2 linked regions of the Drosophila melanogaster genome follow. The protein of the gene in region 2 interacts with the protein of the main gene of each other region in a pairwise test. Each region holds a gene or a part of one and is shown on either strand. Other genes may lie near its edges. The genes, in order: SkpF and ntc.

Region 1 (3,477 bases), on a different chromosome or scaffold from region 2:
GCACTTGGCAGCGAATGGGCACCATATCGCGGGACTCCCCCCCGGAATCGGATTACGACTCTAATGCCCTGGACAACGCGCAGGAGGACGAGGAGGAGGAGGAGGGTCAACCATTTGGCAAGCTGCTGCCGCTCAACGAAAGCCTCGCCACCACCGAATGGATGGACGATGGGGCTCAGCGGGAACCGGAGGCGGAGGCCAGATCCCAGGCGGCCAGCATGGAGGTCAAGCAGATCAGCTTCGACAGCGATGGCGACTCCGATTCCGAGGCGGGACTGGACACCTCCGAGGTCACCATGGACGACGGCTATCCGCCGGATGCGCAAGTCGATGACAAGACCAAGCAGCTGGTCATTGGCGATGTGGAGGAGGATTCCGGCGACAACATGGAGTCCAACCAGTTTACCGCCGACGTGATTAACGCGCGGGACAGCAAGATCGATCTGGTGTCCAAGTTCCTGCAGTATATCGAGCAGCAGCATCTGATGGGCTCCAACTGCGTGGCTGGTACTTCGCTCAATCTGGGCGAGGGCGTGGTCGACCGGTATGCTCAGGACAGGTTCCGGGTGGAGGCCGAGGTGGCCGTCAATCGCGCCAATATGCTGACCAGGTGAGTGGATGTCACGGACAAAGTTTTCCGAGTTACTCAGCCCACATCATATTCACATGCCAAACTTTTCCAATCGAAAGTTTTCGGCCAGACGGTTGGCGAATGCAAGTGAAAATGGAAATGGAAATGGAATCCGTACTGAACAATTGCGGTCAAGAAAGTAGTGTGCTTTCCCTGAAGGTCATTCGAGGGTCAAGATACATATGAAGGATATTTATGTGATATTTTGTGAGCATAGGTAAGGATGTCGAGTTACATTCTAATCCGGAACAGGCATCAATCCTTCGAAAATGTTCACTTCGAATTTATATAATTTCGCCGTACTCTATCGCCTCGTCCTCCTGCGGGACTTCCGACTCCATCGTCATCAAATCCTCCTCGGAGGGCGAGAAATCGTTGGTTATGTGAAAGGTCTGGCGAATCTCCTCCGTCGTGCGGCCTTTAATCATGTTGGCCACCGTCATGCAGGCGGCGTTCAGCAGATTGGGAATGTCCAGGTAGTTGGCCGCCAAGATGAGTTCGAAGAGCGTGCCCTGATCCATGGACAGGAACTCGGCGTCCCAGGGGGTGATCTGCACAGCGACGGACTTGGCCGCTTCCTCTTCGTTCTCCTCTGCAATGTCCTCGCGATGATGCTTGGCCCAAATGAGGACCTTCTTCAGGATCGTCGAGTTCACATTGGGCAGCGGGATAAGAGTGTCGTTCTCCGCTTCCACTGGACAATCCTCCAATAGGGTCTTAATGGTGCTCGAGCACTTGGCAGTCTCGATGTCGGTCTCGAAAATTTCGCCATCGGAGGACTGCAATTTGATGACTGGCATGGTCCGTTTTCGCCCACAAAGGGTTTTCCTTTAAGGTTATCTGGTACAGTTCAACTTTTCAAGAAAATCTGTCAGTGCCAACTTGACAGTTAAAAATTAAACAGAACAGATTCGTAATGGAAACAAATTGGTGATTCATCAAATTCAAACAAATGTCCATGGAATGGAGATAGCATTTATTAACAATTTAGACAACATTTTTATTTCAATATAACGAGCAAAATCGATTAGATATTGGCAGAAATACACAATTTTAGTTTCATAACATATTTATTGTTGTATAAGTAATAGTTGATTGCCGCTTACAATGGTATTTACCATGTTCTACACAATGGACATTTCAATTGCAGCACAATTTATTGCTGTTTGTTATAACAGAAAAATATGAAATATTTAGGGCCCATTTCGAATACGGAAATAAAAACAAAACCAGGGATTTGGCCTCCATTTTCCCTTTTCAATTCACCATCGCTCATTGCTCGGGGTTCACTTTGCAGCAGATACTCGCCATTTTCTGCTCATCTAGATTGGCCCGTGTCCTTTGTCAACAAGGAGCATAATGTGCTTTTCTTGTTGCGGTGGCTCTCGTCGCTTGTTGGCCATAGTTGGCAGAACTACCATCGCTTTCCCTGCGATTTTCCTTCGATTTTTCCGTCCGCCTGGCTGCGTGCAATTTTTTGATAAAAGTTCAATTACTTAGCGTGGCAGGCGTGCCGAGCAAAAAGTTTGCACCATTCTTGTGGCCAAAACGGAAGGCCAGCTGGCGGAGGACATTGATTTACCTGGACAACCAAAGCGATGGCAATTCATTTGGTTTTTCTTGGAATTTCCAGCTGTCCAGGCTGGCCAAACGGAGCAAGCTGACCAATCTGATGTGTGTGCTCATTGTTTACTCGTGTCCATTCCGCTTCCATCATCGATTTGGCAGTGTATCGTGTATCAGGATAACCGCCCCAGTGACAATCCCAAGGACATGCCAGCCCAGCTCCCATGTTTTCTGAGCTCTTCTTTTCTTCGGCAGCTCTCTCTCTCTCTGTTCAGCAGCCAGGCACAATAAACACAAAGTTTCTTCAGATTTCGCATATCTGGGTATGAAGTCCGAGCACCAAAGTTACGGACTCCAAAGTCCTGTGTGTTCCAATGTCCAAAGTCCAAAGTCCAAGTGTACGAATGTCCTTGCCTGCATGCACGCATCGTATGTGTCAATGCCGATGGGGATGTGCTCCGTGCAGACATTAGACCTGGAATTTATGTCCTTCTGTTTTTCTTGAGTGTCTTTGTGGCAAATAGCAATAGAGAAATCAGCAAAAAAGCAAACTTTTTCTGAGCCAAAACGAGGGCAACGTGGGTGTGTGGCTGGCTTCGTGCAACAGGCCATTGGATATCGTCCAACCGTCGATGGTCACCAAATTCCGATGACATAATTTTCCAGCTTAGATGACAACTTTTTGTGCGCTGATTGAGCCAGGAAATCAAAGCCATTTGTTAACGAAAAACTCATTTGTTAAAAGCCGCACAGAAAGGACGACAGGACTACAAGCTGATGAATCCAAGGAACGATTGCCGCTTGTCAATAAAACGCACAAATAAACAATTAACCCAAACGACTAGCAGCTCGACAAATTAAGTGACAGAGGGGAAAGGTCGGTCGATAGCGAGGAAAGGCGGGAAAAGGAGAGAAAAATGGGAAATGCGGACAATGTCGTAACTTGGCCTGGGGAGCAATAAAATGTCAAAGACTCACTGTCAATAAATTAAATTGCAAACGGCCACGGATCTGGCACGGGATCAACATTATTGCATTTAGTGTCATATGCCAGGCATTTGTTTTCATTATTTGTTCAGCGGGGAATGTGGCCTCTGGGACTGAACTCCACTTCCTTGATTTATCCAGCTCGACATCCATAAATCCAATGGATTGCCCAGATACTGGTTCATAATTGCAGGAGGGATGGCGGCTAATCAGGACCCGTATTAATCAGTTTTCCTTGTGTTAACATAATCAAGGATGGCCGGAAACTTTTCCTTCAGCGGAAAAAGGGAAAC
Region 2 (5,003 bases):
GCCTGTGGCCCTTCAGCGACATATTCTCCAAAAGTTGACCCTGGGTGGTGGGGAGTTCTGACAGGATCTTTAAAATGCACTGGAAGCCCTGGAGCTGTGTGAGAAATTCATTAAGGTTTACCCATGTGAAAAAACTGGCTCTCTACTTACCGTCATGCTGCCTTGCATTAGATTAAGGCTCAAGATCTGCAGGCTTTGCACCAGACTGCTCTGGGTGGTCATGTCCGCCATAAGCTTGTTGGCCTCATCCCGGTGTCCGAAATATATGGCCAAGTCGAAGAGGAATCTTGAGATCCAAGGCGCCAAGGGAAGAGCCAGCATAAGTTGACTGAAATCCCTTTGGAACTGATCCGTATTGAGCAGCTGCCAGCACTGGGCGGCGTGTAGGAAGGCCTTGGATAACTCTGGACTTATGGCCGTGGTCAGGGAGAATTTCGGTGGCTCCATGCTGGGCACTTCGGAGCCATCACCTTCCGGCGACCATTCCATGAATCCTTCTACCAAAACATGAGTTACATCGGCATCCTCGATCCTCAGCTTACAATTTCGTATATAACCATGAAGGGAGTAAATGAACAAGGTGGTGGCGTAGAACAAAACCTGGGAGCTGCCCGCAGGACTGCCGGAAAGTATGTCCACCAGCTTTTCCCAGTAGACGTTCTGGTTGACATGCTTGCTGAAGGGCAGGAAGGGCTCCCAGCCCATCATCTGACCGCAGATCATCAGCACTTTAAAGATGTTCTTCCAGGCATCTGCTGTATCCGATTCATCCATTATTTGCCGCAAATAAAACTCCAAGGAACTGGTATAAAGTCTGCAGGCCAGATTTGGCGAAAGTTCCGGGGGCTTATTCTGGATCATGGGCAATACCTCCTCCACCAGAATCCGCTGATAGAGATCCGGTTCGGTTTTCATGCCCTCCGCCAGCATTTCCAGTAGCCTGGGAGCCTGAGTTATGGCTGATTTGGGAAACTTGTTGAACATCAGTATGTAGATATAGATGCGCTCCAGATTATCGGCACTGTGGTTGATGGTGTGCATGAATATGTTGTGCTGTACTTCCGGAGTTAGGTGCTTGTACATTTTTACATAGAACTCGTGTTCCGGCGTAGTTTCATTCTCATTTCTGAGGGCATTTGTTAGGGAGTTGATCTCCTGCCACAGCTCCGTATGTTGATTCTGGAAATTGGTGGCTCTGGAACAGTAAAAGATAAAGTAACTGGAATAGATGTGCTATTGTATACTCACATAGCACTGAAACACTTTGCTGCCTCCTCATAATTCTGAGCATCGCGTTCCAGTAGATAAGCCTCGTATTGCAGGTTGAATGCATTGGGATATAAAGTTTTAGCTGTGATAATCCAGGCCATGGCCGCGCAAGGATCGCTTTTCCGGAGTCTTTGCGCCTCCTTGACCATGTACAACTCATTTTCCTCTTGGCTCGGCATGTTTCTTCGGGTATATCTTTTGTTTTTATTAATTTTCTCCTAGTTTCAACAAAAACAAACCATTTAGCCGGCTATTAGGAATTTATTTACTAGCACTGGCCATATTTTTCTATTAGGGATGGGAACTATTGGATCTAGAAACTAGCTAGAGATTTCAATTATTTTCAAAACGCTTGTTTAGCATAGTGCGCTTGTTTTAGTTACATTAGGGCTGGCGTTATTGAGTCATTTCAACCTAAAACGCTTTTTATATCAATATATGTTCGGTGAATTCGAAGATATTTAATTTTCAGCTTGAATATAGCTAGCTTAACAAGCGACTCTCTCCTCATCTGCAATCGATAACAGCAGCGGCAGTAGTGTTGCATAGTAGCTGCCAGCCAGCTGATTATTCGCTAAATAACCAATTGTTTTTTCGCGAATTTTTCAATTTTCTGTGATTTTTGCGGCTACAAAATCGAAAACTATATTAAGCAAAATACATACGAACCTGGCAATTGCGACTGCTTATGTAATATCTGTGACAAACCAAGTTTTCTAGAAAATACCTGCCGATGCGTCGTTGCGCTTTGTTTTTGTTGCGTGAATAAGAATCGTTGGATATTTGTACATTCGCAATTTGTTGTAAATATGTTTAAATCTTAAGTGCCACAGCTTATCAACGAAGTAATATAATTGCGATTCCCTCCTTTTGTTAATCAGTCCCACTATATAGCACTAAATATAAAAATTGAGTGCACAAATCGCAGTATGCCCCATTTTCTGATTGTCATTCCGAAAACAAACAATGACAGTCGCATTGAAAGTTTAAATCAAATCGTTTCCCAGAAAATTCGTACGTAAATATCTGAAATGTCAGACACTAAATCCGAAATTGAGGGCTTTATAGCCATTCCCACGACATCGGGCGAACAACAACAACAACAGCCGCAACAGCAGCAAAATGAGCAACAAGTGGTCGGCACAAAGGACATTAAAGCTCCTGATCAGGGTAAGTTGTGTAATATTTATAGAAACTTACTAACTTACTTAAGAGCGCTCTATGTAATTGATAAATGGCCTGCAAATAACAATCGTTCATTAGTATCTTATCATATTCTATATCGTAAAATAATCTTAAAAAATACGATTATTGTATATATTAATATTTAGTTGAGAGTATCACTGATATCTAGAAGTTATTCATAATCTATAATAGAAATCATTATTTAATACATATCACTTAACAATAGATACTCATAAATCATGATAAACAAGACAACGTACACTAATTCATGCATTATGCTAATAACAATCTGCTCATTCTATAGATATTTTTTTAACAAATTTATTTGTACCTGTTTCTATTGTTAGTTTATAGAGCAATGTGTTTTTCATCCACGAATTATGCATATCTATTTACTCATACCTTGAATCACTTAACTTGAATGAAGTTCCTTAGACTTTCATTCCAAGATCGGCGACTCTCTTCGATGAATCATCAAGTTAACCCCTTCGAATAAAAGTAACATAAATTCCGAAAAACCTGTTTGATTATTTTGTAAATTGCTTCAAAAATGTGACGTTATATTTATTGTAATAATAGCCGTTTTAATTGTTCAGTTCCAACTTGTTTAACCTAGTGTCTTATCAAATATATTATGTAAACACAAAATAATTCTAAGTTTGATTAATTTTACAATTTATTTTAAAGCAAATTGAGTAGTGAATTAAATATTTATGTCGTGTTAGACATAATTTTATTTACAATTTCTTTCGTGATTTGTTTTTGAATGCAAGTGTTAATTTACTTAATTTATTTAAAGTTCTACATCAGTCTTAAAGTCTTAACGGGAGTTTTGAGTTTACTTCTGTGTTCTATATTTTGTAGTGTCAAAATGTATTGTATATAACTACCGGTTTGAGTTGTTGCTTCCGAAATCCGCACATAGCAGGTTTGTTTCTGCAATTTTCAATCTTCTCCTAACCAACCAACAGCACAGACAATTTCACTAATCATATCCTCGAGATTCTGTTTAAATATAAATACAAATAAAACTCGTTGCAGTGGGGAAAAAGCAGCGACCACGTTTGATACAAGAGAAGAGCACCCAGGAGACAAATCCGTTGATCCTGGAGCATGCTACTCTGGAATGGGTGCCGCAGCATATGGATAAGCTACTGAATCAGTATCAGGAATGTCGCAAAATGCCGGCTGCCGAGTGGCTTCATTTGTTGACTTACCTGGTGGCCCTGGAATGCGGATTTGTGGAGGAGGAGACATTTGCCCAGAAGAGACACCTCATTCAACCCGTACCATCATTTAGCAGCTTTCACGCCCAGAATGTGCGAATCCTGAGCGAACAACCAGCTAGATATGAAGTGTGCTTCAATGACACCGTCTATATAATGCGACTGAGAACACTATTGGACAAGCATGCTCCCGAGGAGACTTCTCTGGTGGCTGCCCTTCAGTGCCGGCTGATGGCCGTCAGCCTGGGGGATCAGCTTATGATCACCCTGTCCCCAGCACCTCCGTCGAAGGAGCCTGGCTACAGCGTCAGCCTGTCTATCGGACGCTATGTACTGAATATTCAGGCGAAGAACAAGCCCATCTACCATCGCTTTCGGAAGCTGGATGAACTCTCATATCAGCTGAAACAGCACTTGTTCCAGCCCATGCGATCGCAGCAACTAATGCAGATGGAGATGAAGCTACAGCCCTCGCTATTGGGCCTCCCGGACGAATTGTACTTCGAGATCTTCAGATATCTGGACAAAAGCCAGCTAAATGTGGTGGCCAGGGTCAATAGACATCTTCATTTCTACAGCAAGGAAGTGGAGCGAAAAAGGCTAAAGGGCGGCAGAAGCTAAGCTCTTGTTTTAATCGAAGCCGGTTTAAGCGATTTTATAAATATTATTATATTAATAAATTATTAAGTGGTGCATAAAGATTCTCGGGAATCATTGTATGTCAATAAATATATTTGCTTATTCAAGTAAATGCCTTGTTAAGAGCTGAAATACAACACGTCTCTTTATATTCTCTGAAATGTTTTAAATATTAAGACGGATTTTTACAATAAACTATCCTCAAAGATAAAGGGAATATTCCTTGCTTTATTTGGTGGAAGGCATGGATTTTTTCAATTGAAAAGGTAAATTCGAGAAAGTGATTCAATTAATTAAGCACTTCAGTTTTCAGATAGATTTTAAGTAACAGGGGAAGGTGTTTTAAATTACTGAAGCTTCTTATGTTTTGTTTTTTTACATATGTTTTAGTAAGAGTAAGAGTAAGAGTAATACCATATATTTGTGTTTAAATTATCCTTTAAATTGTGTCCTTATTGCATGCATTTATACGACCCGCTCCATCAGCAAGGACAATTGTGGATCCTCCGACGCCCTCGGCTGAGTCCTGCAACTCCTTCGATATCTTTGAGCCACCTGCCACGCCCCTGGATTCCATTAGCCTCAAGAGCAGTGCCAGTAGTTACCTCTACGATCGTGATATTACAGGTGAGTTGCGTCCACGTGTCCGCGCCACCTGTTCGTCGGCATTTCACCCCCCCCCCC

What was found.
Region 1: the proteins of ntc (region 2) and SkpF interact in a two-hybrid assay, tested with the Drosophila melanogaster proteins (one large-scale study listed by BioGRID).

Annotation. Positions count from the first base shown.
Region 1 is NT_033778.4:23,457,256-23,460,732, forward strand, and holds SkpF (SKP1-related F), read right to left. Parts: upstream 1,505-3,477; 5' UTR 1,432-1,504; coding exon 916-1,431; 3' UTR 810-915; downstream 1-809. Other genes in the region: CG43795 (uncharacterized protein), read left to right, coding at 1-610.
Region 2 is NT_037436.4:3,803,257-3,808,259, reverse strand, and holds ntc (nutcracker), read left to right. Parts: upstream 1-1,800; 5' UTR 1,801-2,300; coding exon 2,301-2,439; intron 2,440-3,495; coding exon 3,496-4,301; 3' UTR 4,302-4,428; downstream 4,429-5,003. Other genes in the region: IntS10 (integrator 10), read right to left, coding at 1-94, 151-1,195, 1,249-1,448. UniProt on the Drosophila melanogaster protein: Functions together with PI31 to control non-apoptotic caspase activation during sperm individualization. Positively regulates PI31 stability.